Notamacropus eugenii: one gene and its partners. The protein of the gene in region 2 interacts with the protein of the main gene of each other region in a pairwise test. Links are inferred from orthologs where the notes say so. Each region holds a gene or a part of one and is shown on either strand. Other genes may lie near its edges.

What was found.
Region 1: the proteins of CEP63 (region 2) and CCNI interact in a two-hybrid assay, tested with the Homo sapiens proteins (2 studies listed by BioGRID and IntAct). The link is inferred for Notamacropus eugenii from reciprocal best matches to the Homo sapiens genes CEP63 and CCNI.
Region 3: the proteins of CEP63 (region 2) and SPTAN1 interact in a two-hybrid assay, tested with the Homo sapiens proteins (2 studies listed by BioGRID and IntAct). The link is inferred for Notamacropus eugenii from reciprocal best matches to the Homo sapiens genes CEP63 and SPTAN1.
Region 4: the proteins of CEP63 (region 2) and CAMKK2 interact in a two-hybrid assay, tested with the Homo sapiens proteins (2 studies listed by BioGRID and IntAct). The link is inferred for Notamacropus eugenii from reciprocal best matches to the Homo sapiens genes CEP63 and CAMKK2.

The regions. Positions count from the first base shown.
Region 1 is NC_092878.1:149,075,102-149,082,124, reverse strand, and holds the start of CCNI (cyclin-I), read right to left. Parts: upstream 3,003-7,023; 5' UTR 2,617-3,002; intron 1-2,616.
Region 2 is NC_092876.1:333,964,404-333,972,362, forward strand, and holds the start of CEP63 (centrosomal protein of 63 kDa), read right to left. Parts: upstream 3,007-7,959; 5' UTR 2,927-3,006; coding exon 2,922-2,926; exon of another isoform or gene 2,797-2,921; intron 1-2,796. Other genes in the region: ANAPC13 (anaphase-promoting complex subunit 13), read left to right, coding at 4,266-4,364, 7,786-7,911. UniProt on the Homo sapiens protein: Required for normal spindle assembly.
Region 3 is NC_092872.1:479,856,257-479,863,829, forward strand, and holds the start of SPTAN1 (spectrin alpha chain, non-erythrocytic 1), read left to right. Parts: upstream 1-4,563; 5' UTR 4,564-4,773; intron 4,774-5,339; exon of another isoform or gene 5,340-5,414; intron 5,415-7,573. UniProt on the Homo sapiens protein: Fodrin, which seems to be involved in secretion, interacts with calmodulin in a calcium-dependent manner and is thus candidate for the calcium-dependent movement of the cytoskeleton at the membrane.
Region 4 is NC_092875.1:36,536,025-36,543,446, forward strand, and holds the start of CAMKK2 (calcium/calmodulin-dependent protein kinase kinase 2), read right to left. Parts: upstream 3,003-7,422; 5' UTR 2,859-3,002; intron 1-2,858. UniProt on the Homo sapiens protein: Calcium/calmodulin-dependent protein kinase belonging to a proposed calcium-triggered signaling cascade involved in a number of cellular processes. Isoform 1, isoform 2 and isoform 3 phosphorylate CAMK1 and CAMK4. Isoform 3 phosphorylates CAMK1D.

The DNA of each region.
Region 1 (7,023 bases), on a different chromosome or scaffold from region 2:
GGGCCCTAAAAGGGGGTAGGAAGGAGTAAGGATTTGCCAGAAGATTTTTTTTTTTTTAAAGCCCTCTGGCTACTCATATACATGGCCAACAGGAAGACACAGCTGCCCCTCCCCTTCCCACACCACCCCTCCAAGGCCTTTTGGCCACTAGAATTTGTTTCTACCCTGGAAATTCTCTGCTCTAAACAGAGGTACTACTTGGAGTTTCCCACATCACCACCAATGCCTTTTCCAAGGCTCTCTTTGCCCCAGAGTCCTCTCTCTCTATGAGCCTCTAAAGAGGCCTTTCTTAAGTAATTAGTACCCCTCTCAAACATCACTGAATGTTTTGCATATGTATAATATCCTTCTCATATTTTTGTACCTGTAAACATTTCCTCAGCACAACAAAAATCTTCAGGAGAGCAAGCGGTCATCAATTTTCTATCTCAGGCACACCTAGGGTAGTCTTATCAGTAACAGGAAGAGGCATAAGGACTGCATTGTGGTTTCACTGGTTTGGGGAACTCCGCAGGTGAAGGAGACCAGTGCTTTCTCTACAGCTTATAGCTTTAAAGAGTTGTCTAGAGCACTAGGAGGTTGTGACCACTAAAGAATCACAGTCAGTTATGTTTAAAGAGCCAGACTTACACCCCGGCCTTCCTGGCTTCCAAGCCAGCTCACTATGCCACTACACCATGCTGTCTCTCAAGTAAATGTTTGTTCACCCACTGACTAAAAGTCCTAAGATATCATTTTTAAGATTTCTCCTATGAGAAACCAGGGTCTGCTTTCACAATAGAAACTGGTTTGGGCTTTTGTGTGCCTTCCTTGTCATGTGGCACACAGAAGGCACTTAATAAATACTGGACATTTTGCTTCTTTCCTTCTTAATTTTCCAAAGGTTTAGTGTTTATGAAATCTTCAGTTGTCATAAGAAAGGCAGCCTGACATTGTGAATAGAGAGTCGGTCTAGAAGTCAGGAAAACGAGCTTAAGTCCCATCTCTGTGACCGTGTCACTCAACTTTGCCATGTTCTAGACAATCATCTTAGGAGCCGGTTTCTTTATCCTTCTGGTCATGGACTCTTTGGCAGTCTGGTAAAGCCTACGACCTCTCCAGAATGTTTTTAAATGCATAATATCAAATATGTAGGATTTCGAAGGAAACCAATTATACTAAAATCGTTATTAAAATTTTTTTTTAAAAGCTCACAGACACCGGGTTGAGAATCCCCAGAGACTATAAATTGCGGAGAAGGTGCCAACCTGCATGGGTTGAGGGAGTTTCTTCACCAAAAAAAATCACAGGCCCAGACTGTGTTAGTGGTCAAACCAAAGTTCAACCTGCAAGGCTTTGTCTCCTCTCCCCCCCAAAAAAGGAGGTGCCAAAGCTCCGGGCACACAGTGAGCATTCCTTCATGGGGCATACGCGCACAAAGAACCGGCACCAGCGGTGTAGCACCGTCGCCCAAAATGGACCGCCGGCCCGGTCTGGACCTAGTGAGACAGGGAGACGCGTCCTCAAGTCGGGCCACAAGCGTCCATCGCAAAGCCTGCGCCCAGCATACAAAGGCAAGCCCTTCCTCCTCCTCCTCGTCCTCCTCCTTCTCCCCCTAAAAAATAGTCCCTGCCCGCACAAAAGGAGGCCCGCAGCCGCCGGCGGCGTGCAGCGCCCGGTACCAGACGGCACCAAAGGGCGGCCTCCTCCGAGGCAGGGAACAAAGGCCCGGCACGCTCGGCCGCTCCGGCCCGCGATCGTCACGCGCGCACGCTAGGGCAGACCCGGGAGAAGTTGGAGCCCGGCCCGGGCTGGGCTGCGCGGACACAAAGGAGGGCCGGACAGCCGTGCGCGCCCTGCGAGGGGCAAAGAGCAGAGGCCCGGACGGGAGAAGTCGGGGCCCCTCTCGGGGCGATCACGGGCTCCCACTCGAGTCAAGAAGCACGCAGGAGGCGTCTAACGCGCCAAGTGCGGGGGGCCCAGAGTCTAAAGACCAAGGGGGGTCGGAGGCAGGCGGGCGCTGCTTGGTGCCAAGCCCTGGGATGGAAACAAAGGCAGGAGACCCCCCACCCCGGCTGCGTCCGAGGGGGACGCCGCTGGAGGACCAGGGGCACAGAGGGCACGGCCCACTCAGGGAAGCCCCGGACCCGGAGCCTGGGGGGGTGCAGCCCCTGCCCTAGGGGAGATCCCCCTCGAGCCCGGGCGCAAACAATTCTGCCTCGACCGCCAGCGGGGGCCCCGGGGCTAATGACTTGGGGGGGGTCCCCGAGCTATCAGACTTTGAGGTGACCCGAGGCCACTATACTTTGGGGGTATCCCGGGGTTATCAGACTTTGGGGACCCCCTGAACTATCAGACTTTGGGAGGGGTGCCCCGAGCTAGCAGGCTTTGGGGGTGCCCCGGGGCTAGCAGACTTTGGGGGTGTCCCCCGGGACTATCAGACTTTGAGGGGTGCCCTGAGCCAGCAGACTTTGAGGGGGTCCCGGACTTCAGGAGCTGGAGACCACCACCGAGGGAGGGCGCGGGGGGAGGGGGCGGGTCTAGGTCCCTCCCCCCCGGGCCCAGCGCTGCTCGGCCCGGGGGGCGTGACCGCGGGAGGGGGTCCGTTACACCGCGGCGGGGGGGGGGGGCGCTCACCTTCCTCTCCTTCTCCTCCTCCTCCTCCTCCTCTTCCTCCTCCTCCTCCCCGGCAGAGCAGTAGGCTTCACGCTGGCGACTGGGGGCATCCGGGGCTCCGCTACCGCCTCATCCTGCCCGGCGCGCGGGGGCCAACGGTCCGTGCCCGTCACCGCCTCAGGCCCATGGCGCCCCCCGGCCCAAGGCCGCCCGTGCCGCTCCTCCTGCCGGGGTGGGCAGGGGGCTCCCTCTCGCCATAGGGCGCCGGGGGAGGAGAGGGGGAGGGCACAGGGACGACGAGCCGAGGCGAGAGCCAAGCGCCGGCGTCCGAGCGCCCGCCGGGGACCGAGGGAGGGGGAGGAAGAGCGCGGCCCTCGGAGCGCTGCCCCGCCCCCGCGCAGGGATCCGCGTCCCGGCCTCAGACGCCGCCGCCCTCCCGCTCCGGCCCCCGGCCCCCGGCCCCCGGCCCCCGGCCCCCACCACCCCTACGGCCTGCCGGCGTCTAGAGGCCGGGGCAAGGATGCGGGAACTGGCGCGAGTCGGGCCGGGAAGCCTCGGGATTCTTTTTTCTTTTGTCCTGGAGGCGGAAGGATTTGCTCTGCGTGAGGGTGTGATTCAACTTGACGCAGGCCCTTCCTCCCCACCCCCCTTTCCGGAGGGTAGAGGAAAGAGCGCATGCGCTCCTGGGCCCAGGAAGACGTCATTGGCCCTGGGCTTGGGAGCCCGACGCGAGCGGGCTGGGACCTCTGCCTGGCGCTGGTGGCCGGCGCTGGTGGCCAGCCCGGTGTCCCGGAGGGCGTTCTCTGATGTTTCCGCCCCTCCTGGGGTGAGGGATTCAGTGACGCTGGCCGGCATGTGTACGTTAGCACTTTGCAAACCCGATGGAACCCACTTTATGGATGAGGCAGCTGAAGCCTCCAGGAGGGAAATGACTTGCCCAGGACGATAAAGCTGGATATACTTTTACTAATCACCCACGACGGGGATGCAGAGCCTCTGGCCCCAAAACGAGACACCTAAAAGTCTAGGCACGAATAAGATTTTGGTTCAGTCCTTGGGGCAAGACGGAGTGGGAAATGGGGAAATCGGGCTCTTTTAGCTTTTGGGGGGGGTTCCTCAAACTCTGGATCTTTACCCCCAACTTCTTGACTTCCTTGAAGTCAGTCAACCTACTTTGTGCTAAGCACTTGAGATACAAAGACAAGCGAAAGACAGTCCCAGCCCTCAAGGAGCTCACAGTCGTGGAGGAGAAAACATGAAAACAGCTGCTTTTGTACCTATAGATACACATATATATGCATATATGGTAAAGTAGGGGTACTATCAGAAAGAAGGAACTAAGATTATGGAGGACCTAGAGAGTGGAAATGACTGAAAATGTATGTTCAGCTCCGTGGAGTGTAGTCCCAAAAGAAGGAACTGAAAGGTACTCAGTGCTGGATGGAGCCCTGCTTAAGAGTTCTAGACCTAAAATTGGGAAGACCTGAATTCACATCCTTCCTTATCACTTGCAACTCACCCTCTCCCAGCCTCAGTTTTCTCATCTGTAAATTTAATGGGGATAATAATAACACCTACTGCCCAGAGTTGGGAGGTTTTTATAAATCAGTTCAAATACATTGTACAAATGCTGGCTAGTAGTATTGGTATGGGACAACCATTTTCTGCACGGAAAAGAGACATTTAAAACCAAGGATTCTGACCAAGCAAAACAACAATGAAACATTTTGTCCACAAGTAAGGAAAAGATGGTTGAGGTGGAAAACTAGAGGTTATCCTTAAGCCTCAAGAGGGTATCTGTCCAAGGCTGGATTTCTATGTCTAGATCCCTTGGATCAAATGCATGATGATATGATTTTTTCTCAAAAGAGATGTGACAGTTTTTTACCTTTTGGTAATCCTTTTTGTATCCATAGTACAGTTAAGAATTAATCCTTGTTCTGATTGTCTAAATATAAAATTTTAGGATTTTTTTCAGTGCTTTATCATTTGACTTGAAGTCAATTTTACCTCTTTCTGCCTTGAGCATGGACACTGCATGATCTAATAAGTTTTAATCTCAAAACAGACAAAAATCTTGAGGAAATAAAAGAAATATTTTTGTGTGGACAAAGAATTAAGGTATTTATACCTTTTCTCTAATTTTATTGTAAGTACCCACATGGATTGTCTAAATCCATGGATGCAGTTTGTAGGTGGTATGGATAGATATGATTTGCGCTTTGGCTTGACTGTTGAAAGGAGAGCACTCTTACTTCTGATCTCCAAAAAGTGTATTAGGCTAAAATTATATCCATTTGCCTCCCTCAAATATTGGTAGTCTAAAAGATTCAGAACAAAAGCCCTCTCCCTGATTGCCTTTAGCTTATGCTCACTGGCCAACTTCTTTCTATCAAACACTGATTACACAAAAGACCATCCCAAACAGTGAATATTAAGTAAACCCATTTATCCAAGCAAGACTGCAAGTAGAAATAGAAAGTTATACAAACTAGAATATTCCAAAGAATACACAGGAGTGTAATAGGTGGGAGCAAGAAAAGATCTCAGCTCAAACAAGAAAAGATGACCTCATCCAGAGGAGACGCATTCTCATCTGCCTCTGAAATTTCAAGCAAGTCCATGAACAGGATTGGAGTGGTTTCCTTTGCACGTCCATCATTTTAAGGTTTCTCTCTTCACCACCTTCCTAGGTTGTCCTCTGTTCAAGTATTCCTCCCCAAAATCTCTGGAACCAATTTGGACCTTTATGCAGTCATGCTCACAATTCTCTCCACCAACCACAAGTCCATCCCTCCACCACCAAATAATAAGAAAGAAATGGTTCTCCTCCTGCATGTCTGATTGTTCCAATGGGGTCTTTTCTGATATAGATCAAGCCGTCTAATTGTGGGTATCCCACAAGGCTCCCTACTCTTCTTTCTCTACTCTCCCTCTTGGTGACCTCACTAATTCCCATAACACTATCGATCACTTCTATACTGATGATTCCCAGATCAATATATACAGCCCAAGTCTCTGCTTCGGGCTTCAGCTCCCAAGCACTGACTGCTCATGGAGTATTTCAAATTAGATGTCATTAAGACAGTTCAAATGACACATCTTAAAACTGAACTATTTCTCTTTTCTCTCAAATCCTCCCTCATTCCAACCTTCCCTATTTCTGTTGAAGGTATAACACCCACTCCCACCCCCCACTAATCTCCTAGGTTCCTAACCATGGCATTATCCTGGATTTGTCCCTCTCTTTCACCCAAAATATCCCATCAGATGTCAAATTCTGTCATTTTCATCTTAAGAATATCTCTCACATCTGACCTGTTTTCTCTACTTACACAGTAACCATCTTAGTCCAAGCCTCATAAACTCTGAACTAGATTACTGCCACAACTTCCCGGCTGGTCATCCTGCTTCAAGTCCCTCACCACTTCAGTCTATTTTACATACTCCTGCCAAAATTATTTTTCCTTATGCACAAATCTTCTCATGCCACTCCCCTAGTCACTATTAACTCTAAAATCAAATATAAATTTGATTTTTCTTCTATTTAGCTTTTAAAGCCCTTCAGAACTCAGGCTCAAACTAAATGTAGTTACTATATGCTTGGTACTGGGGATACAAAGAAATCCAAAAACATGGTTTGGTGTACAGTACCTAGCACATAGTAGGCACTTTAATATATGTTTATTGATTAATGGTTGCTGCCTTTAAGGGGCTCACTTTCTAATGAGAAAGACAACATGCATGTTACTGCAAGATATGTATGGGGTAAACAGAAGGTTAAACCTAAAAGAAACAAATGGGTTTAACAGTGGGGAGAACAGGAAAGATCTCTTGCAAAATGTTGTTTTTAAGATTTTTTTTAATTAACAAAAATCTCTTTTCTGTCTGTCCAACCTCTCTCACCCCCACCTTCACTTCTATCACTAAAAAAAGAATGGAGTTTTAAAGAAGCTAGGGAAACTACAAGGCAGAATTGAGGAGGAATGTCATGTCATGCCTTGGGCAGGAAGTATAAATAAGCACACCCCAGAGAGGGAGGTTTGTGAAAAACGGCAAGCTGGCTACAGTAGCTGGGTTTTGGAGTACATAGAGGGGAACAGGGCAGCTAGGGGGCTCAGTGGATGGAGAGCACTGGGCTTGGAATCAGAAAGACTCATCTTCCTGAGTTCAAATCTGGCCTCAGACACTTACTAGCTGCGTGACCCTGGGCAAGTCACTTAACCTCTGTTTGCCTCAGTTCCTCATCTGTAAAATGAACTGGAGAAGGAAATGGCAAACCACTTCAGTATCTCTGCCAAGAAACCCCAAATGAGGTCACAAAGAGTCAGACAGGACTCAACAATAAAAATTAAAAAAGAAGGGGAGTAAGTGTAGCAAGACTGAAAAGGCAGGAAAGAGTCAGATTGTGAGGCAGCTAGATAGTAC
Region 2 (7,959 bases):
AGCAATTCTTTTGAATTCAGGCACAATACTGACCTGATGAGGTCACTATAATCCAAGTTAACAAAGCATAATGCCTTAATTTACTTATAATTTTCATACATGCAGATGTAACAATTTGGTATCAACTTAATACCTATGCCATTGTACCTTCTCAAACATTCAGACAAACCCAAATTCTGTAGAGCACTTAGCATCATCACTAATTTGGATAAATTTTGATTATTTGGTACTGTAATTTAACATTTAAAATGAGTGTGTGCAAGGTCTTATACAGATACAGGTATTTCTACTCTAACAGACCACTTTTAATAAAGAAAAAAAATACTTTCACTAAATTTTCCCATTGTCAATGGGGGAAAGGGAGAAGGAGGAAGGGGTTAAACTTCAAAGTTATTTCAGGCAACTGAAAATTACTGCAGGAGTTAATAAACTTTTTTGTGTCATAGATTCCTTTGGCAATCTGGTGAAAACTATAGACTCCAATGGTTCACCAGCTATGTCTCACCAGTGCCCACAGACAGGAAAGACTACAAGCCCTTGAAATCCACAGTAATTTCAAAGTAGTGGTGGGCATACATAACATTCCAAAGTATCTGCAATGACTATAACATGGCATAAAAATATTTGTGATTTCTACCAGTGATAAAGTCACAAGTACTATTAATGATGCTGTGGTTTATTACCTACATGTGTAATTGACAGAAAACCTAAATTTCAATTATAGGTTGCTTAGTAAAAATTTTTTTAAAAATTTCCCATTCAAGTTCCTGGACTCTCCCAAATCTAACCATGAAATCCTTCATGTTAAGGACCTCTATTCCTTATATAACTGAAAATGTTCACAACATCACTAGAACTAGGAAAAACATGGGATGAGGTGTCATCTTTTTAAAAAGCAATAAACAAAAGTTGCTATAAAAATGACTAGGTTTTTCTAAAGAAATTCTGGGAAATGGGCCATAGGGTTCAGGTTCCTCTGTAAAAGAGATGTGTGTTTGTCCTTTATTGCCGAAGAAGACCATGCCATCAGAGAAATGATGATGACTTTTACTTGACTTTGTTTTGAGTGAGGGAGGGCTGAGGTTAGTCTAGACAGAAGGTGGGAAACCTCTGGCCTCAAACCACTCCTGGTCTAGATAAATACCCATGGTAAAAGGATCTTGGAAAGGATCTGATCAACAATCTCATAATAAAGTATTTATAGAGAGGTCAAGTAGCTTGATGTACTATCCTCTTTAGGAAGAAATCCTCACTTTAACTGAGGTCTCCCAGGATTCTGAACAGAAAGGGTTAATAGACCCTTCAGGCACCACAACTGCAAAATGCTGTTTTTGTTCCTCCTTCCTTTTCAAAGAGGGCTAGTCAGCCTCACTCTCTCTTCCAGAACGATTGAAGTTCAGTGGAGAAACAAAAATCAGTAGATTGATGGAAGGCTGCAGTGGATGACCTTGGCTTCTTTGATGTCTGACCAACCACTAAGCACTCCACAGCCCTTGCATGGCTCTTGGAACAAAATGTTCTGATCTGCTTGGGGAAGTCTATCCATGCGTGAGGTAGACATCCCTCCCCGCAACTTAATGAAGGGCTCCAGGGCAGTGGGTTACTCTAAACTTGGCTTAGTGGGTTGTGACCACAGCACATGCTACAACTTCTTGGAGCCACAGGTGACAGTTGGATGACAGCCCTCACACCAGGAGTATTCATCCTCCCTAGACACCACATACATCCTTATTAATCAGAGGGGGTACCTTCCCTAAACTTCTCAAATCATGCTGGAAAGGACCTTAGAGGTTCTAGAGTCATGGGATCATTTCATAGAGAGAGAAAGAACTTCTGAGGCTAGCTGGTCTAATGCATCCCCATCCCTCACCCCCTTCATTTTACACATGAGGAAACTGAAGACCAATTAAATCAGATGACTTGTCAATTCAACAAACATTTATTAAGCACCTACTGTGTGCCAAGTCACTGGGCTAAGCAATGGGGATACAAGAAAAAGGCTAGGCAGGGCCAGTCTTCACGTATCTTACAACTAATAGGGGAGACAAGGCCAAGCAAAGGGATACAAAGTATCTAGGTATCCTCCGAGATGAATGCCTCCATTTTGCACGGGGAAGTGGCTTGCCCACAGCGACAGGTCCAAGTGGAAGCAAATTGATGACCCTGTAGAACGGCGGGCTAGGGAAATCTGAGGCTTGCCCAGCTGATGGGTTTTTTTAATACCTCCAGCGCCTGGCACGGTGCCCTCACTTAGTAAGTGCTTTAACGTCTGAACTGAACTGAACCCCGGACCTAGGTCCATTGGCCTCTCGGGGGCCAGCGGGGGAGGAGAGGGAGGGGGAGGAGGATAATCTCGGCCTAAGTCGCTCTAGCACAAGGCGCACTCGGACTGCTTTTGAATCGCCCGCCGGGGACACGTGGCCCCCATCACCGCCGCCTCCTCTAGAGGGGAGGTGGAGGAACCCACTTCAAGCATGGCCCGAGGCGGGCTAACGAACGAACCCCAGCCGCCAGCACTCGCCCTCGGACCCGAGGAAGGCGAGCGGGCACCTGACGGCGGGCTTGGCCGACGCGCCCTGCGGAGCCATGGGCCGCACTCAGCGCGCAGCCAGGCGAAAAGCACGCCGGGAAGAAGCGCGCAGTCGCTACCCCGCGCCTGCGGACTAAGGAGCAGCGCGTCGACGCCGTTCAGCGGCCTCAGCCCCGCGGCCACGCAGGCCGTGCACCCAGCCCCGCCAGGCGTCCGCAGCAGCGGCAGCGTCCGCCCCCGCCCCTTTCTCGTTCTCCCGCCGTTACCTTTCCCGGCCGCGCGCGCCGCCGCCGACGTTTCTGCACCGCCTCCTCGCTCGCCCACTCGTCCTCCCTCCGCCCCCTCCCCACTTTAAAAAAAAATTTTTCCCCCCTTAATGAATTGAACCAACCTCATCCTCCCCACTTTCCTAAGGTAATCGAGTTGACTCAGCCTAGTACTGTCATTCGCTGGGCCTAAACGGTGGGAGGGGAAGGGTTTTACGAATCACGTGACTCCGGCGAATTGGCTGGCGGAGGAGCAGATTGGCGCGGCGGTTGAAGGCGGAAGAGCGCTGGAGCGGAGGTTCCCCCAACACGCCTGCGCGATGATCGCCGGAGAAACGAGCGCGAGACTCGGAGCATGCGCATGCGCATCCCTTTCACATTCTTTCCAGGTCTGCTGGTTTGGTTACATTGTATGCTGCTGCTCTGCAGCTGTACCTCCCCTGTCCCCTTGTGCTCACCCCAGGAGAGTCTCGGCTCTTTTCTTCCACCCTTCTGTCCCCTAAGGAGGATACTGGAGGGCAGTGTCGTTCCCTCCCTCTCCTTTCTCTTCTGGCCTCGCTCGTCCCAAACTGCAGTAAGACGAACGTCTGTGTGTGTGTGTCTGTATGTCTGTGTCTGTGTGTCTGTGTGTCTGTGTGTGTCTCTCTCTTCTGTTACTTGATTTTGTATAGTACTTACAACTATTCATAGTCCCAGGGCTTTTATTAAGCAGTATGTGCCATGCCCTCTGCTAATCTAAAAGTTAGCAGAGTTTGTAAATTTCTGAAAGTTTGTAAAAATCTGCCAAAATCTGCCTATTGTGTGCTGCTTCCTCAGGGGTGATAAAACTGTTTTAAGTCACAGCCTCAGCTCTAAATGAGCTTCTGGTCTAATTGAGGTTTCAGGATAGGAATTCAATAGCCATATAAGATTACAATTCAAACATTTTTTCACTGCTTTCTGCTGGAAGTTCTCAGCCACACAGTCAGGAATACAAAGATGAAAATCAGTGATCCTTATCTATACTTAAGGAGCTTACACTGTATGTGACAATTAAAAAGAACAAATTAATCAGTGATGACTTATAACATGTATTCTGATAAGAGGAATAGTAGATGACAAAAGAGGGCAGCAAGCACTTTGAAGAAAATGAAAAGAATGTGGGATACAAGAATTTAGATAAATGCTAAGAAAAAGTTGAAACATCCATGGTTTCATTGATCTGGGTATAAATACTGAAAATGGATCCTTTTACTTTATTGAAGTAAAATTCTTTTTAAAAAAGAATCAAAAACTTGTCAGCCAGCTGTCATCCATTTATGTTTATTTTGAGCTCAGGCCACGTCCACAGACACAAAACAATTAAAGTACATTTGGACTAATTCAGAAAATTAACTAGTTGTGTGTGTGTGTGTTTAATTCACTCATCACCAAATTTCTGAACTGTAACTTGTAGGCCATAGGTCTAAGAAAATCAAAATCACAAAAGAATGGACAGTGAGGTACAGAGGGATGGAAGAATTCTGGATCTGATTGATGATGCTTGGAGAGAAGATAAGCTGCCCTATGAAGACGTTGCAATACCACTGGTAGGTAACATGCTATGAATAAGGGAATGGGTATACCATTGTAAGTAACAATTAATTAGCAAACCCAGCAAAAGCAGAAAGGAGGAAGGGCACATGACTCACAGTGGGAGCAGTTTATCTGGACCAGAGTTATCAAATATACTTCCCTAGTGGGCCTGAATTAAAATTTAATTAAGAAATGTTCTTAAATAAAAATACAGTAGAACAAAGATAATGTTAATGTGTGGTTTTCTAATCAATATACAGCCACAGGGATCCTTAAGAGTTTAATAGGTCTGTTTCTGTTTGAATTTCACACTGCTGATCTAGGCCTCCTAGTTTTGTGGCCCTCCACCTGAAGCAATGAAAAATAGAGAGGAGGGGATGGATGTAAAATTATTTCTTCCAATCCTTTCAAAGCAAATCAGCCAAGGCATAGAGAGGTTAAGTAATTTGCTTAAGAACATAAAACTAGTTAGTGACAGATCTCCTGAATGTCAGTCTAGTGCTTCTATCAATGTACTATATAGAGATAAGTCAAGAATAATTAAGAGTCAGAACCACTGAAATCAATGGAAAAAATTAAAAAGAGCTAAGAACATACCTTAGAACAACTAAATAATATTCTCTTCTTTCTTTTACTTTCATCTGTCATTCAGTTATTCTCTTTGTAAACCTCCATACTTTGATGCTAGACCTTTCCAAGATTTTCTGAGAGATTTCTATTCTCTTCTCTACACCTACCAAGTTTCTGAAAAAAAGACTTAAACTTCCACGTTTGTAGATGTCCCTGGACTTTTAAGTTTAGTCCTGTGTTTGTTTTTTACTGAGTTAAAATTTAACAAATTACCATAGCACTCTTTATAGGATGGTAAAGATGTTGGGGTAATTCATACTTCAGGTCCAAACTGAGTAATTTCTAAAATTGCTTCCAACTTTTTAAGAGACTGTAATTATATTATTTTTCACTTTAATGAAGGCTTATGATAGATCCTATGTATATCATAAGGACCTACTGAAAGAGAAGAAAATAATTGAAAAGAGGTGGAAGAATATTTTTTCTGTTAAGAGGTGGGGGGATGGTAAGGGGAAATAGTCACAGGTCATATGCAGGTAAAAACAACTTTAGCTATTTTTGAAGGAACTATGCAACGTTCATGTTACCTACTTTTAAAAATCAAGAACGGAAAATATAAAACTATTCAATAACTACAAATAACAAAGAGATATACCTTAAGTTAAGGATCAAAAAAGAAAAGGTAAAATGGACTGAGGACCTAAAAGAAAACATTCAAAAACCCCACTTTGAAATAACATTTTTGCTTAACCCTTGAAATAAAGCAAGGATATCCATTGTGTAGGATAAAGACCTGTATCTATCTCAGAAACTTTCACATATGTACCCAGAATTTGAGAATACTTTTCTTAGGCCAATTCAAGTCAACCCAAGAGCAGATTGGAGCCAGTGAATCAGATATTTTCTACCCATGATTTATTGATATATTTGCTTTACACTTCTTTTGTTGGTGTTAATTTTTTATTTGAGCTAAGTTTGTCTACCTTTATTAGTACATCCAGAATCCATCACATTATAGGTGTGAATTCTTCCACCCCTTTCACCAAAGTAAGTCACAGCTTTTCTATACTATAACTGTCTTTGTAAGTCACTGGGTCTGAAAAAATGTTCCTCATTTGATATCCAACTTTCATGTGATTAACACCTCTGAACTTTAATGGTCTCACTTAACAAAATACACAGTGTATTATCATCTCTGTACCCAGAGCCTTCCCTGCTTGGTTGTTGTGTTCATCCTTCATTTTCGAAGAAGACCATGATACCAGAGAAATGATGACATGACTTGCACTGGACTTTGTTTTGAGTGAGGGAGGGCTGTGCAAGGTCACCAGTCTCACTTCCCCTCCTGGGCCATCTGGATCCAGTGACCAGATATTCATCAGGATGACTAGAGAAGGCCCAGGATGCAGTGGGGAAACTCAGACTTTTCAGGTATTCACTTAGAAGAAGGTACTGCCCATTGAGTGAATAGGCCTCTTTAAGAAGTAGTCTGGGAATGACCCTTTAGAAGATAACATAACCTCTTACAACCCAGCATCAGAAGAGGGTTTTAATAGTGAATAGTTAGTAGTGTTTAAAATTTCTTCAAGTACATTTGACTTTCACATAAAATGAGTATTTTTCACTGGCATTAACTGGACCAAAAAATCTTTAACGCATAATTATCCTATAAAACTATAAAATTAACACTGACTTAGAAAATTGCTGATTCTTCTTTCCTTCTACAGCATTTTACCCTTGACAAATATATGCGATACCAAGAAAAAGAAAAGGACCTCTCTTAAAGCAGCAAAAGAAGTAAAATGATCAGTAATGACTCTCGTACTCCCAGGAGGCCTTGTCTTCACTTTCTTTTGCATACCTGATATGTCCTTGTAGATGTTGTTTCTTTTTATTATTGTTATTAATTCATTTGTTTTCAGTTTTTTACAGTCATTTCCATAAGTCTTAGATTTTTCTCTCCCTCTCTCCCCAAGATGGCATGCAATCTTATATGGGTTCTTCACATACATTCTTATTAATCACATTAGTCATGTTGCATTTAAGAGTTAAAATGAATGAGAGAAACCATGAAAAAAACCCAAACAAAAAAAATATAACATGGGAGAAAATATGCTGCTTCATTCTGTGTTCCAATTCCATAGTTTTTTCTCTGGATATGGTTGGCATTTTACCTCGAGTCCATTGGGAATATTTTAGGTCATTGCATTGCTGTGAAGGGCTAAGTCTGCCAGAAAAAGTCCTCGCACACTGTAGCAGTTACTGTGTGCAATGATCTGGTTCTGCTCCTTTCACTCAACATCAGTTCATATAAGTCCTTCCAGGCTTCTCTAAAGTCTTCCTGTTCATCATTTCTTAAAGCACAGTAGTATTCCATTATATTCACATATCACAGTTTGTTCAGCCTTTCCCCCATTGATGGGCATTCCCTCAATTTCCAGTTCTTAGCCACCACAAAGAGAGCTGCTATAAATATTTTTGTACATGTGGGACCCTTTCCCATTTCTATGATCTCTTTGGGATACAGTCCTAGAAGCAGTATTGCTGGGTCAAAGGGTATGCACACTTTTGTAGCCCTTTGAGCATGGTTCCAAATTGCTCTCCAGAATGGTTGGATTAGCTTGCAACCTCACCAAAAATGAATTAGTGTTCCATCTTCTCCAACATTTAGTAGATGTTTCTTGTAGGATACAAGCTGCTTAAGGGCAGGAAGTTTTTCACTTTTTCTTTGTGTCCTCAGGGCCCAGCATGTAGTAGACACTTAATAAATGCTTGTTGATTATTAGTTGAATTTCTGGCTTTCATTTTATGAAATATTTGCTCCTTTGGAACATGTCATTCTGAGTTTTTTTTTCCCATTTTCAGAATGAACTTCCTGAACCAGAACAAGACAATGGTGGCACAACAGAATCCGTCAAAGAACAAGAGATGAAGTGGACAGACTTAGCCTTACAGTATCTACATGAGAACATTCCCCCAGCAGGAAACTAATTAATTTCTTATCTTCCATGGACAGATTATTTTGTATCCAAAATGTTT
Region 3 (7,573 bases), on a different chromosome or scaffold from region 2:
TGACATGGAGTGATTCATTCTGTGAATGGTTGACTACACTTCTAAAAAAGAAATAATAAAAGTTTTATTTCTAACTTGTAGCAAGTTGGCTCTTGGTTGGGTCTTTGTAAGAACAGCATGGTTAATTCTTTATGACTTTGGCTGTGTCTTTGGGGATCATGGTGTGGAGTCTATAATATAATTATAGTTAAGATGGTCAGGATTCTTATTCTCTGATCTTGGGAAAATTGCTCTTTTTTTTTAGTTTATCAACTGTTTAGCTAGGTGTCAATAGCTGAGCCCCTTCTGTCCACCTGGGGGGTGATAGAAGTAGTTGATTGTTAACATAGTATTTTATTTGGTAATTGCAAGGTCACTTAGTAATCTTTAGACATGTCAAGTGGATATAATTTATGTAAGTAGATCTAGAACTAGAGGCCATCTAGTTAAATCTCTTTATTTTATAGATGAAATAGGTACAGAGAGATTAAATGATTTGATTTGCCCAAGGTTACACAGGTAGTATCAGAGGTGAGATATGATCTCAAGTTCTTTGTCTCTAGATCTAGTGCTCTTTTCACAGTACTACTCTTCCTCTTTTTTACAAATAAGAAAATGGAGATAGGGGCAGGAGGAGATAGGTTTTTGATGCTCACTGATACTGAAGATCACACAGAGAGAAATCTATTGGATAGATGCAATTGCTGATGGAATAAGCATATTTCTTTGAAGTAGTAGTGAGTTGATTCAGTTTTTATTCAAGTTCTTACCTGATGTCTAATTTTCCTCCAGGTCTGACCTTATTTCAAGATGTGAGCCCATTTTCCTTTTCTTTTTAATTTGTGCTCTATATAACTTTAAAATGAAAATAATGAATATGAATTAGAATTAGGACAGAAGTCCTTGATATCCCTTATCTATAAAAAGTCAGCTGTCTTCCAGACAATTTCAAATGAGCCCTGGGGGCCTTTCCCTGGGAAGAATATTTTCCGGAGTTGGGCCAGATAAAGTTACCCATAGATGGCAAAAGGAAAGGTGGTGGAACTAAAAGCAACCCAAGGAGTGATGTGTGGAGAGGATCTGAGCAGTAGTGGATTAACATCACTTTATAAGGTAGGTATATTCTGAGTTCACTGATCAGACCTTATAGAAATGAGAACAAATCCTAGATATTTAAAAATTCCACATCAGATCTGGATATTTTTCTTTTCTCTTTTCCATGTCCTTTTAACCACCATCTTGAGCTCTAGCTTCCTAAATGAACCTACTAGAAACAAGGGGCCACGCTGTATATATAACTAGTCATACTTTTCAGACTACTTTGTTAACTTAAAATATTTCCCTTTCCATTAAACTCCTACTTGATGATGGCATGGAAGTGACTGGGTTCTCAAATGCATCTTTCCTCTTGCGAGTTCAAACTAAATTAGAAAGACCTACTGATGGAAATTTTATGTCTTATCTAAGGACTAGCTTAGCAAAGTTTGGAGAAGCTCATCACCAGGCTGGCTACAAGATGACAAAATGTTTTTACCACCACAACTCTTTAAAAGAGATTTTACCGTTTCTTTAGAGAGGTTCCAGTATGTTGACAGAGGAAGCACCCAGGTGATAGCACAGTTCCTCTATATATGTCTCTCATCGTGATATAATAAACTGATGTTCTGGTTTATTTCTCCTCTTGTGACTTTTATCAATGTGAATTAACTAACTGGAGCCTGATTACTCAATGAACTGATTACACTGAGTTTTTGATACTGCATTTTTGAAAATAGGAGCCCTGAGCAGAGGTAATAAAGGCAACCCTAAGGCCTTTCTCGAACCACCTTCAGATTGGCCACTAGGTGGTAAATTCTTCAGCCTCAGTGACCAATAAAACAGATAAAACTACAAAATGTCCCTTGGTCCCATGTATAGCCTACTCCTGCCCTGGTGGTGACAGTGGGAGAAAAGAAGCCAGGTGGTAAGAGTCTGTTGATTGGCTTTTTTTTTAAGACTGCCTACAAACATTAATTTATCTGTTGGTATGGTAAACATGAGACTTTCTTCCAACAACCAGTGAATTGATAGACTACTGAGGAAACTACACCACATAAAACCCACACTGTGTTGGGTAGATGCTCTGGAGGATATCTGGAAAAACCTGGATGAAATTTTACACAATGAAAAGGCATTTGGAGGCAGTGAAATTCAGTGGTGGAAAGAATGAGGACCCATACTACCAAACTCAAAATGTTGACTTGTGAACAAGTGTGACTTTACCAGCCCACAAGGCTTCACAATATTCTCTCTCAGGAGATACTTTGGTTAGTGAAATATAAGTCAGCATTCTCTTACACTTGCCTTCAAATAACTTGTAATAGTTCCAGGTTAAGAAGCAAGTGCTTTTTGAGGGTGGAGCATACATTAAAAAAAAAAAAAGAAAAAAGGCAATTAGTACTTTCCCCTGATTTTGTATGTATTCATCTGAAAAAAAAAATGTACTTGGCCAGAACTTGATAAAGCCTGTAAGATATAAAAGCAGTATAAAGTGTATTCCATTAAATGAGCTCTTCCACGGAGATACTTTGATAATCTGCTTAGACATTCCTCCTAATAAATAAATTCTTGTTAAATGAATGGAAATTGGAACTGCAGATGTTGACATAGATCTTTTAGGAAAACCTTTAAAATGCTTAGTGTTAAATTGTGAGGTGGTCATCAACTGATACTGATTTACCATTTTCCAGGTAAAGCCTTAGTTAATATCTTAACAGGAATTAGATTGCGGTTTCTGTAATCACTATAGTGACTGTCCAGTATCGAAGCTTCTAGGCTCCTTTGTATTTGGCATTAGTAGTTGGAACCCCACCTCACTGCAAAACATTCATGAGGCCAGGGTGTTTTTCAGTGGGAGACAAAGGCATAAAAAGGTTTTTATAACTATCCCTCCATAACTGAAATTAAATGCATTCCTTACTGGTGGAAATTGGTATTCTCATTCTAGGTAGCTATAGCTTCCTGTGACACGGATGATGTTAGCCATTTTATACACTGAGCTGAATATTTGATTAGATATTTTGTTGCTGCCAGAAGTGGAAAAGGATATTGAAAGGATCAGCTGTTAACTGAAATGATTCCCCTAGGGAGAAATCCTTCAGCTCTGGTCTTCTCTATATAAAAGGTTTCAGGAAACATTTTGCCCTGTTGCCCCATTTTTCTGAGTCTGCAAAGCTTTTTGGGAGTGGCCATCTTTTTCCTTTGGGATGATGGCTTCCCCTGGAAAAAACATTTCCCTCCCCGAACTGTATGGTACTGGGAAGCTAGGAATCTGGGCAGAGCTTCCTAAGTCAAAGGAAGGAACCCGCCCATCCGAGTACGGGGAGCCTCCGAGCTGGGCCTGGACCAACGTTGAGCGCAGAGCCAGTGCCTTGAATGTTTATTTAATGAACACGGCTGCAGTCTGATGCGGCTTTGAGGCTATCCACCTCAGCACTGCAGATCTCCTTCTCTCTGACAGCATGGTAATTAGGTTTTCCCACTGCTCCTAAAGGCTGTTTTCTTCCAGCTCCTGTTTTTAGCAGAACTGAGGGGGGGAGGGAGGGAAGCATACTGCAAATCTTCCTCCCCAAGGGAGGGATCTGGAAGCCTTGGAGTCTACGAAAAATAATGTCTTTTAAAATATCCCCCCTATATATCTCTCTTTTGGCTTACAAAAGATTTTCACACGTATTGATCTCATTTCTTACCACATCTGTGATGTAAGCATTGTCCCCATTTTACGGATGAACATTCTGAGGGGATCGCCATGTTAATAAATGGAAGGCTTGAACAGAGGTTTTAGGATTCCAAATCCAACGTTATTTCCAATGTACCCTGCTGCTGTTTCTCAGGAAACAACCTGCCGTGTGCTCCCTGCCCTCAACCTCCTAGGGGAACTGTCATTATTAGCCAAGGTGGCAGGTTCTCTCTTCCCATCTGTCCTCGGGTCTCCGAGGTTCAGACCCCGGCTATCTGCTGTTTTTAAATGCGCTTCTGACACGCCGACCCGGGAGGCTGCGGTTCTCACTCTCGGTTTAGCCCCGCGTGTCTCGGCCCCGTCTCTCCCAGGAGGTGGGTGCTGCAGCGGAGGCTGCAAGGGCTATTTTTACTGGCCTGAATGCCTGCGGGACCCCCCGCCTCGGCACGGGGGAAGGGCAGGAGCGCAGGCACGCTCCCAGCTACAGGAATCAGGGTGGGACGGGGGCAGTGCGTCCAGGGGTCCTGACTGCCCACCCTAGGACTGGACGTTCTCTACGCTTACACCAACTCGGCTCTTTGCCCTTTCGCAGCATCTCTGCAAGGGGTGGGGTGGGATGGAGGCTGTGCAAAGGGGCGGGGGCAGCGGGGAGAACGGCCCCACCCTAGGAGCGCCGAGCCGGGCTCGCTCTCGGCCCCCACCCGCTGGCGTCTTCCTTTCTCGTTGTACTCCCACGCAGTTTGCTCCGCAATCCCCACCCCCCTTCGGCTCCTTCCGGAACCTCTCGGCCCTTTCCGCTCCAAACAGCTGGGGCGAGGCCCGAAAGCCCCGCCCCTTACCCCTCCTCCCCGCCCCTTGCTGCGTGATTTCTCCTCTTCGCCGCTCCCAACTATTCCTCCCTCCCCCCTCCTGCGCGCTGCCGTCGGGAGCGCGCCTGGGCTGCTTATAAAAGGATCCGGGGAGCGCGCGCTGCCTTCACTGGCCGCGGCGGAAACGAACGGAGCAGAACAGAGCCGAGCCGAGCTTTTTATCCCCTCCTCTGTCCCCGCGAACCCCACTCCCCGGCCCCAGAACCGGTGAGAGGCATTGGGGTGCCCCTCAACCCCCAGGGCCGGGCGAGGGCGGCTTCCTCTTCTGCCTCGGAGGCTGGCCTGGGGAACCTGGGAAGCCCTGGGGGTGGGGAGACGGAGGTGGAGGTGAGGGTGGAGGTGGGGAGGCACACCCTAGCGTTGGGGGGGTGCACGGGACCGAGGGGACGCTGGGAAGGGAAGAGAAAGGGTCCCCGGGAGGGCTCGAGGCGCTGGGCTCCCTGGAAGGGGCGGGGCGGAGACCGGAGGAAACCGACAGGTGAGCTCGGGCGGGGGCGGCCGCCCAGAACCAGCCGGTCCTCTCCGGAGCGCGGGGCCCGCGCCCGGCCCCGCCCGCGCCCCCGCATCCTCGCTCGGGGGCCGGGGGCCCGCGGGGGAGCGCGCGGCCAAGCCTCCCCCGACGGACGGAGGCAGGAATGTCATTGAGAGGATCGCCGGCCCAGCTGGTCCCATCCCCCTCCCCGCCAGCCCGGCCCCCGCCCCAGCCCACCCACCGCTCTGCTTTCTCCCTCCCTGCCTAGGCTGCCGGATGAACGTGGCTGGGGGTCGGGGCAGCTTAGACCCCCTCCGAGGAGGCGTGGGGGTGAGAGGCTCCTGTTGGGAAGCCCCCTTCACCGAGTCCCCAGCGGGTGAGAGGTCAGGGTTGGCGTGCGGGTCCTTGGATGGAGGGGAGATCGAGACAAATCCCTCAAGAACCCTTGACATCTCTGCCCCCCTTCCCAGTTTGCATCTTTCTAGCCCTTAACAGACCTTAGGAACCATTTTTTATAATTCCACTAAACATGCCTTTTTTTTTTCCAGCTCAGCTGTGGTTTGTCAATCGAGTTGGTATCATGCAAACATTTATAATTGTAAAACCGTTCAAATAAAACCTTAATAGGTTAGAAAGGTTTTTTTTCCGTTGTGCTTGGGATTCATAAGATACTTATTTGCCTTTTTGTATCAATTTCTCATTGAATGGTGGAGCCGTTGTTTGAAAATAATCCCTATGGTGAATTTTTTCTAAAGATGTTTTCTTTAAAGGTCTGTAACTCAAGAGTGTAAATTGCCTCTTTAAAATCTGTTCTTAGGTTTAAAAGCTAAATTTGTAAGTAACTGGGCAGACTTTGAAAGCTGGGATGAGGTGAATCAACTTGAAAAATAAGCGTTTACATAATGAATCCTGAAATACTTAACGCTCTTTGTTCTACTATCGTCATATTGAAAAAGCCCAAATTCAGGCCTTTTGAGGGAGAATAGAAGAGAATTCGAGTGACAGTTTACCAGTATTTTAGTGATCTATTGAAAAAATTGCCGTAAGCAGGGAATGCAGGTTTAAATACATCACCATATTGTGGGTGGGGAAAAGAGAGGACAGAAAAGCACAAAGGGATGGGAGGTGATTTTTTTACAGAAAGAAAGTGATGCATATTATAAGAACAGCACTGTACTTGTCGCTGAGGTATGTAAAAATCATTGAAGAAGTAATTGGTTGTCTTGTCATAAGTTTTTTTTTTTAATTTTTAACTAAAGTTGTGCATTTTGCAAGGTCAAATTGAGGCCAATCAGAGAAAAGATCATACTGCAGTCAACTTCTTACTGCAGGAAATTAATTCTTTTTTTGGTAAGTGGATCAATAATTAGCAGAGGGACGCTTAAACTGTGTTAGATGTTATCTAGGGACCTTGCCAAAGTCAGGAAAAGAATTGAAGGGTGGTATGGACAGATGTAGTTTCTATTGGACATTTTTTAATTGACCTAATAGGAAAATTTAATTTATTCGTCAAGTTGTAACATCTTCCTTTCAGACTGACAAGCCATTTTAAGTAATGGATATTATTTGCTCAAAATGGCTTTATTACATTCTGGTTCTTTGGAATGAGCCTTGTGAAAGGGAGGGGCTTATTGCAGATACTGGGAGTTGGATAACTGGGAGAGGTCCAGCACAATCCTCCCATTGCTGAACTTGTGTCAAGGGCAATAGGCGTCCAGTAAGCCTGCCTGCTGGACTGACTGTAATCAATCCTTTCTGAGCTATGCAAGGATTGTGCTAGGTATGCACTCAACTGCAAGGGTACATCTGCAGCAGTTAGCCCTGTACAGTAGCTTGGAATGCAGTGCCTTGATGGTAAATTCAGAGTAAGAGAAGGCAAAAAAAAAAAACTCAAAAAACTCCTACAGCTGATGATTTGATCACGCTTATACAGTACAGCAGCTGTTCCCTCAAATAGTCATTTCTCTTCCATGTTTTTAGTGTATTCCCTTTGGACCAGTTTTTTGTTTTGTTTTGTTTTTAAACAGGAAATGATATTTGGGAGAAGAAGCTCAGACTTCATCTGGGCTCATTTCAATGGATTGGGTTATGATAGTGTATAGAGATAAATACCATAACATTTTTTGCTTAAATCTTTGTTTTTTCTTGTTCAGGATGTGTTAACTAATCATAGAGAATGAAACACTCTAGAATATAGGAAAGGGAGGCTCACCTTTCCTTAAGGAACCTTATTATGTGTAGTTTGAAAGTAATCAGTCACATCTTTATTAAAAAAAATAAATAAAAGAGCTGAATAAAAGGTGAAATAGGGCTTGCTTTTAAAAAAATAAAATTTAGCATTGTGGCAAATGATATGCTACATTAATTCTTTAAGGCATGGGGAAGGAAAGAAAAGAATTCTGAAGTTGAAATTTACCCAAATGGTTTTTATAGATCTCTTTATTTTACCCTGGTTGTTCAGTTTGCCTTTAGCAGTATATTATCTTGCTCTTCCCCCTCCCCCTTTAGACTGCATTCTTCCATCATGTTGTCATC
Region 4 (7,422 bases), on a different chromosome or scaffold from region 2:
TTGGGGCGAATATGTACAGGAAAGTCAATAATACAGAGTAATTTGGGGTGGGAGGAAATTATGGACAGGCCTCATGCAGGAGGTGAGACAAGCTGAGATTTGAAGGATATTAGGGATTCCAGTTGACAGGGGAGGGGGAAGATGTGAAAAGAAGATTAAGAATAAATACTATCTGTTTGACCCTGGGCAAGTCACTTAACTTTTCTCAGTCTCAGTTTCCTCATCTGTGAAACAGATATATTAACAGTATGTAGCTCACAGGATTATTATGAGAACCCAATGAAATAACATATGTAAAACACGACAAAAATGTTTGTTTTTGTTGTCATTTTTCAGTCATGTCTGACTCTTCATGACCCCATTTGGGGTTTTCTTGGCAGATACACTACAGTGACCTGCCATTTCCTTTGGCAGCTCATTTTACAGATGAGGAAACTGAGGCAAAGAGGGTGAAGTGACTTGCCCAGGGTCATCAAGCTAGTAAGTGTCTGAGGCTGGATTTGAACTCAGGAAGAGGAGTCTTCCTGACTCCAGGTCCAGTGCTCTAACCACTGTGTCATCTAGCTGCTCTTGTATAAATGCTAGCTATTATCGTTAGCATAATTACTATTAATGCTAAACAGGGATAATGGACAGGAGAGAGTACCACATAAGTACCACTTAAGAGGTCTCACTAAACACAGGTCTAACCATGGTCTATCCCTGCCCAAGAAACTCCAGTGACTCCCTATTTCCTCTAGGACCAAATTCAAACTCCTCCATTTGGCATCTAAAGACCTTCACAGTCTGGCTTGGGCCTCGACTGGAAAGGAAAGAGAGCGAAGGCAGGCAGACTAGTGAGGAGGCCACTGCGCTAGCGTGGTAATGGGAGCCTTAACTAGGATGGTGGCTGTGTGGGCAGAGAAGTCAGAAAGTGACAGCACCACACGCTAATCCAAAGCACTTCCCCCACCACAAGCCCAGAGCTACAAGTTTAATTGCCTTCATTTTACAGATGAGAAGAAAGAAAAAGAGAAACCAGAGCAGCACCAGGAGAAAAAAATGTTTCCTCACTTCCAAAAGGAAGGGCTTGAACCCCTTTCCAGCATTAAATCTCCGTGTCTATGACCCTAAGGTCTCCAGAGCAGGGAACACAGACAAGAGTCACCCAAGAAGGAAAGGAAGGATTTAAATCCACGCCAGAACCATACTCAGGATCTCACAGACCCTTAAAAGTATCCAAAAAGAGATGAAGAAAACTAGCTTAGCATACTTAAGTGACTTAGTATATTTAAGTGACAAGGTGACTGACAGCTAGCAATGGACCTAGGGCTGAAACTCAGGGCCTTTGCCTCCAAGGCCCAGAGCCCACTCTACTCCCCTGCATCACCTTCTCCACCCTCATAAGGCATCTCTAGAACCCTAAGTATTAAAATACTGCACTTGTATGCCTTCCATCTAGAGGGTAAATTCCCTGAGATTGAGGCTCACCTTTAGATCCCTCCCCGCCCACCCCTAAACGGTCTGTAGATCACCTTGATAACTAATAAGTAAGTAAATTTACCTTCCCAAATTAGGCAAAAAGAATGATGGGGCAAGGACTCTGACCCAGTCATTGAGTGCCTTCCCACCTAAGATGAGGAATGTCCAAAGTAAAATAACAGTTCCATGGGAAAAGGGATATTCCACCCCCACCCAGTCCACCCTCTAGGAACATTTCTTTTGTCTACCCAGCTCTCCTCCAGCATCCCTAGAAACAAGTGAGATAGCCAGGAGGGGAAAGTTCGGTATCCAGGAGGTGAATGGCTAAACATTCTGTTTTTCCAAGACCCATCTATCCATTATATATAAAGGAGGGAACCGAGGCTTCAGGGCTGTACCTCTGCCTTCTATTGAGCGTCTGACCTAAAGCGCCCACCTCTCTTGACTTTGGTGGGGGCCTGAGGCTAGGAAAGAGAGACAGAAGCAGGAGGTGTGGCTGGCCGGGAGACAGGTGAGAACCGCGAGGAAGTTGGTGGAACTGTGAAAACACCCAGCTGCTAAGATGAGGACAGAAGGGGGCGGGAGGGGGAGAAACTAGGAAAGGCTTCCAGGGCCCAGGACACCGGGGAGGGAGCCGGGAGGGGCTGACAAAAGATGGACCCGATCCCAAACCTCTGCCCCACTATCAGGACTGGCTCGGGAAGTTGCCTGGCTATCTTAGAGCCTTCAAGAAAAGGTCCTTCTCCCCATGGCAGGGTGGCATCTGAGCTTTTAAAACAAACTGTCAGTGAAGGGGAACATCCTGGCCAGTAGGGCCGGTTCGGAGGTGCCCTCGACTCCAAATGGGGAGAGGCCAGGGCTCAGGACAGAGGGCTCCTGCTTCGCCGTGCCTGTGCCCCTGGGTTCTGGGTGCTGGGTCCCAGCCCCGCTGTTCAGGAAGTGATACCAGCGGGAGGTAGGCAGGCGGGCTGTCCCCTGGCCAGACTCCCGGGCTGCCCAGGACCCGGGACCCCTGCTGGCCAAGCCTGGGTACGCACTGGAGGGAGGGGCTGAGGCCGAGGCGGGGAGGGATGGACCTTGAACGACCAGAGTCGGCGGGGCCACCGGGGGCCTGGCGAACTTAGGGCGGCGGGCACCTCTACCCACCCTGCCTCCCCACCCCCGGCGTCGCGGAGCGCCGCAGCTCCAGCCGGCTGCCCCCTCGGCCGTGACCGTGACCGAGCACGGGGTGGGGGCCCCCACGTGGAGGCGCCCCACCTCGGCCCTCTCGGGCCTCACCCCTTTGTCTGCGCCGGCTCGGGCTCCGAGCATCCCTCCGGGAAGGACAGGGACCACCCCGAGCTGGCTGCCCCCCGCCCCGGCCCCTCCCCGTGCGCTGGGAGCCCTCCCGTCCTCACCCGGCGCTGGGTCCCACGCGCGGCTGGCGGGGCTGTCCGGGGTCCTGCGCCCCGGGGCTGGGGCTGCCGCTGCGGCGGCGGCCGGGCTTCTGGCTGGCGGGGCTGGGGTGGCCGGGCCGGCGCGGGCGGCGGCGCCGATTGGCTGCAACCCGGCCTCTCCGCGCCAGGGAGGGAGGAGGACGAGGAGGAGGAGGTGGAGGAGGAGGAGGAACGAGCCGCCGGGTCCGGGGATTGGCCGCCCGGCGCCCAGCTCAGTGGCCCAGATGTGCGCCGCTGTACGCCGGCTCCCCATTGGCTTCTCGGGGCCCGCGGCCACAGGACGGGGAGGGCCCGGGAGGATGTGAGGGATGGATGGCGGGGACGGACGGTGCCACCCTCCCTCTCCCGCCTGGGCGCCTCTCTCCAGCGATCTGCCACCTGCCCGCTGGCTCGAGGGCATTAGTCTCATTGGGCAAATCCGGGGAAGCCGCTCGCGCCAAGTTCACCCAGCGGACAGAGCCGAGAACCCAGATCCCCAGCCCCCACCACCACCCCGCCCGTAATACCTCTGCTTTTCCTGTCCCGCGGGCCACCTCCCACTTAGAAAGAAGAAAACAGATGCCACACACACACACACACACACACACACACACACACAGATCCCCACCAAATGGGACGCTTGCAAACTGCTTCAGGGAAATGTGGGAGCCACTGCTAGGAAGCAGTGGGGAGGGGGAAATCCGGGGAAACCGAGGCAAAGAGCTCCAGCCTCCGGGATGCTGTTCCTCACTTCTGCCTAGCAGCCAGAACTTAACTGGGCAGGAGTGCCCGGGAGTGGCTAGTAAGTAGGCGAAGTTAGACGCCCATTGGAGGAGAAAGGGAGTTATCCCATACCAAGCATCCCCATCCTTGGGAGCCAGCCCCGAGGCTGGGAAAGCTCCGGGAAGCCCCCCTTTCTCATCCCTAGGTACAAGCCGGCCGAGAAAGACCAGCTCAGGTCACGTGGGGAAGGACTCTGAAAGCTAAACAGAAAGCTTTCTATTTCAGCCTAGAAACAGGAAGTCACCGGTGTTAAGTGGACGAGTCGGGTGGTCAGTCCAAAGGCAGATTACTTTGGCAGCGGCGTGGAAGGAACTGGAGTGGGGAGATGCCTTTTCGGAGGCTGCTGCGGTAGTCTAGGTGTTGAGGCCGTGAACTAAGGTGGTAGCTCCGTGGGTAGAGAGACGCAGTGGGAGGTAAAAGAAAAGGCAAGACCTGGCCTCTGATTGCGTGTGTCAGCACGAAGGTGAATGAGAAGTGGAGCATAATACCTAGGTAAGGAACCTGGCTCGTTGGGAGACTGAGGGTGGCTTCCACAGAAGTAGCAAAGTTTGGTAGAAAGCCTTGGTAGTCACCCCTCAGCCTTCCCACTAGGAATTGTCGTAGCTTAGTCGTGTCTGACTGTCCATGACCCCATTTGAAGTTTTCTTGGCAAAGAGACTAAAGTCACTTGCCTTTGCCTTTTCCCGCTCATTAGACAGATGAGGAAACTGAGGCGAACAGGGTGAAGTGACTTGCCGAGGGTCACACAGCTGGTTCAGTGTCTGATTTGAACTCAGTGTCTGCATTTGAACTCAGGTCTTCCCGACTCCAGGCCTGGTGCCCTACTACCCACTGTACCCACCTACATGTCCCCCCACTGGGGTACAAATACGAAAAAAGAAAGACAATCCCTGCTTTCTCAAGGCGCTTCCTATCTAATGGGGTAAGGCAACAACCTTTTGCCCCACTTATTGGAGGGTAGAGCCATGAACTCCAAAATCTCCAATTAATAAAGAACTCAGCACAAGCACCTCATTTCCCACCTGGTTGCTCTCCTTTAGGACTTCTTTGACCCTCCCTCCAACCTTACTTACCTCTTCTCACTTTTCAGTTTCCTTTAGGATATGATCTTCTCCCATGAGACTGTAAACTCCTTGAAGGCAGAGACTTTTGGGGGGGGGGCTATTTGTAGCCCCAGCCCTTAGCACAATGACTGCCACATTGTAGTTAATTGTAGTTAAACATTAATAAATGTTTATTGACTATTGTTGGCTATTGAGGGGACAGTTTGAGGGAAAAGATGAGTTCTGTGCCTGTCTCACACACACACATGCATACACACACTCAATAAACTCCAGTGGCTAAAAAGTATCAAGGAAAACTGCCCTGATATTCTAAAACTAGAGGGTAAAATAGAAATGGAAAGAATGCACCAGGCACCTCCTGAAAGAGATCCCAAAATGAAAACTCCCGGGAATATTATAGCCAAATTCCAGATCTCCCAGATCAAGGAGAAAAATACTTCAAAGAGTCGAATACCGTGGAGCCACAGTCAGGATAACAACATTTAGCAGCTTCCATATTAAAGGAGTGGATGGCTTGGAATATGATATTCCAGAAGGCAAAGGAGATAGGATTACAACCACAGTAAAACTGAATATAATCCTTGGGGGGGGGGGGGGAATGGATATTTAATGAAATAGAGGACTTTCAAGCATTCCTGATGAAAAGACCAGAGCTGAGTAGAAAATTTGACATTCAAAGAGAAAATGAGAATAAATAAGTAAACATGAAAGAGAAATCATAAGGGACTCAATAAAGTTTAACTCTTTACATTCCTATACAGGAAGATAATATATGTACTTTATCATTATTAGGGTAATTAAAAGGAGTTTACATAGACAGTATAGAAGTGAGTCGATTATGAGCTCCAAAAAAAATGAAGGGATGAGAGAGATGCACTAGGAAAAGGAGGCAGAGAAAGGTAGAATGGGGAAAAATTTCTCACCTGAAAAGGTGCACCAGAAAGAGCTACTACAGTGGAAGAGAAAATGGCAGGCAATGCTTGAACCTCATTGTCATCAGAATTGGTTCAAAGATGGGAAGAGAATGAGATAAAGGGGGACAGGAGATGATAAAAGGGAGAGCAGACTAAGGGAGAAGCAAAATAGACTTCTGATGATAAAAAAGATAAAAAGACAGAAAAGAAGAAACAGAAGAAAATGGGATGGAGGAAATACACAAGTAGTCATCCTAATTGTGAATGTGAATGGGATGAGCGCAACCATAAAATGGAAGATAAAAAATAAAGTAGATAAAAATGGATAAGAAACCATAATCCAACAATATGTTGTTTGCAAGAGACATACTTGAAACAGAAAGACAGAGTTAAAATAATGGGCTAAAGCAGAATCTAATATGCTTCAGCTGAACTAAAAAAAAAAAAAAAGTCAGGGGTTGTAATCCTGACCTCAGACAAAGCAAAAGCAAAAGCATATCTAGTTACAAGGGATAATCAGGGAAACTATGTTTTGCTAAAAGGTACTCTTGACAATGAAGTAATATTAAATTTTTTGCAGTAAGTTTCTCTGATAAAGACCTCATTTCTCAAATATATTATGAATATAGTACTGAGTAAAATTTATAAAAATAAGTATCATTCATGTATAATCTATATCAGGTTACCTACCATCTTGGAGGAGGAGGGAGAGAATTTGGAATTCAAAAAAATTTTTTAAATGTTAAAAATTATTTTTTCATCTAATTAGAGAAAAATGTTTTAAAAAAAAGTGCTGTTCCTGAATTGATAAATGGCCAAAGGATATAAACAGGGAGTTTTCAGAAGAAGAAATCAAAGCTATCTATAGTCATACAAAAAAATGCTCTAAATCAGGGGTGGGAAACCTGCCTTAAGGCCACATGTGGCCTTCTAAATATTTAATTGTAGCTCTTTGACTGAATACAAATTTTACCAAACAAATCCTATTGATTTTTGATCCACTTTAAGGCTCCGAGTTCCCCACCCCTGCTCTAAATCATTACAGATTAGAGAAATGCAAATTAAAACCACTCTGAGGTACAAGTGTTTACTTACACCTATCAGAAATGACAACTGCTGGAGGGAAAGTGGGAAAAACTGGAACACTAATGAACTATTGGTGGACTAGTGAACTGATCCAACCATTCTGGAGAACAACTTGGAACTATGCCCAAAGGGCTATAAAACTGCATACTCTTCGATCCAGCAATATCACTACTAGGTCCGTATCCCAGAGAGATCAAAGAAGTAGGAAAAGGACCCACATGTATAAAAATATTTATAGCAGCTCTTTTTGTGGTGGCAAGGAATTGGAAATTGAGGGGATGCCCACCCATTGGGGAATGGCTGACGAAGATGTGGTGTATGATTGGAATGGAGAACTGTTGTGCTGTGGGAAATGATAAGGGGCAGGGGGAGGTTCAGAAAATACATAGCAAGACTTGTATAAATTGATGCAACTGGAAGTGAGAAGAATTGAGAGCTCATTGTGTACAGTAACAACAAGGTTGCAATAATGATCAATTGTGAAAGACTTGGCTACTCTGAGCAGTACAATGATCCAGGACAATTTGGAAGGATTCATGATGAAAAAATGCTATCCACCTCCAGAGAGAGAACTGATGAACTCTGAGGGTAAACTGAAATATAATTTTCTCACTTCCTTATTTTTCTTGCTTTTTTTAAAATAGAGTTTATATGGAAATATATTTTGAATGGTTTCACATGTATAATTGATATTGTATT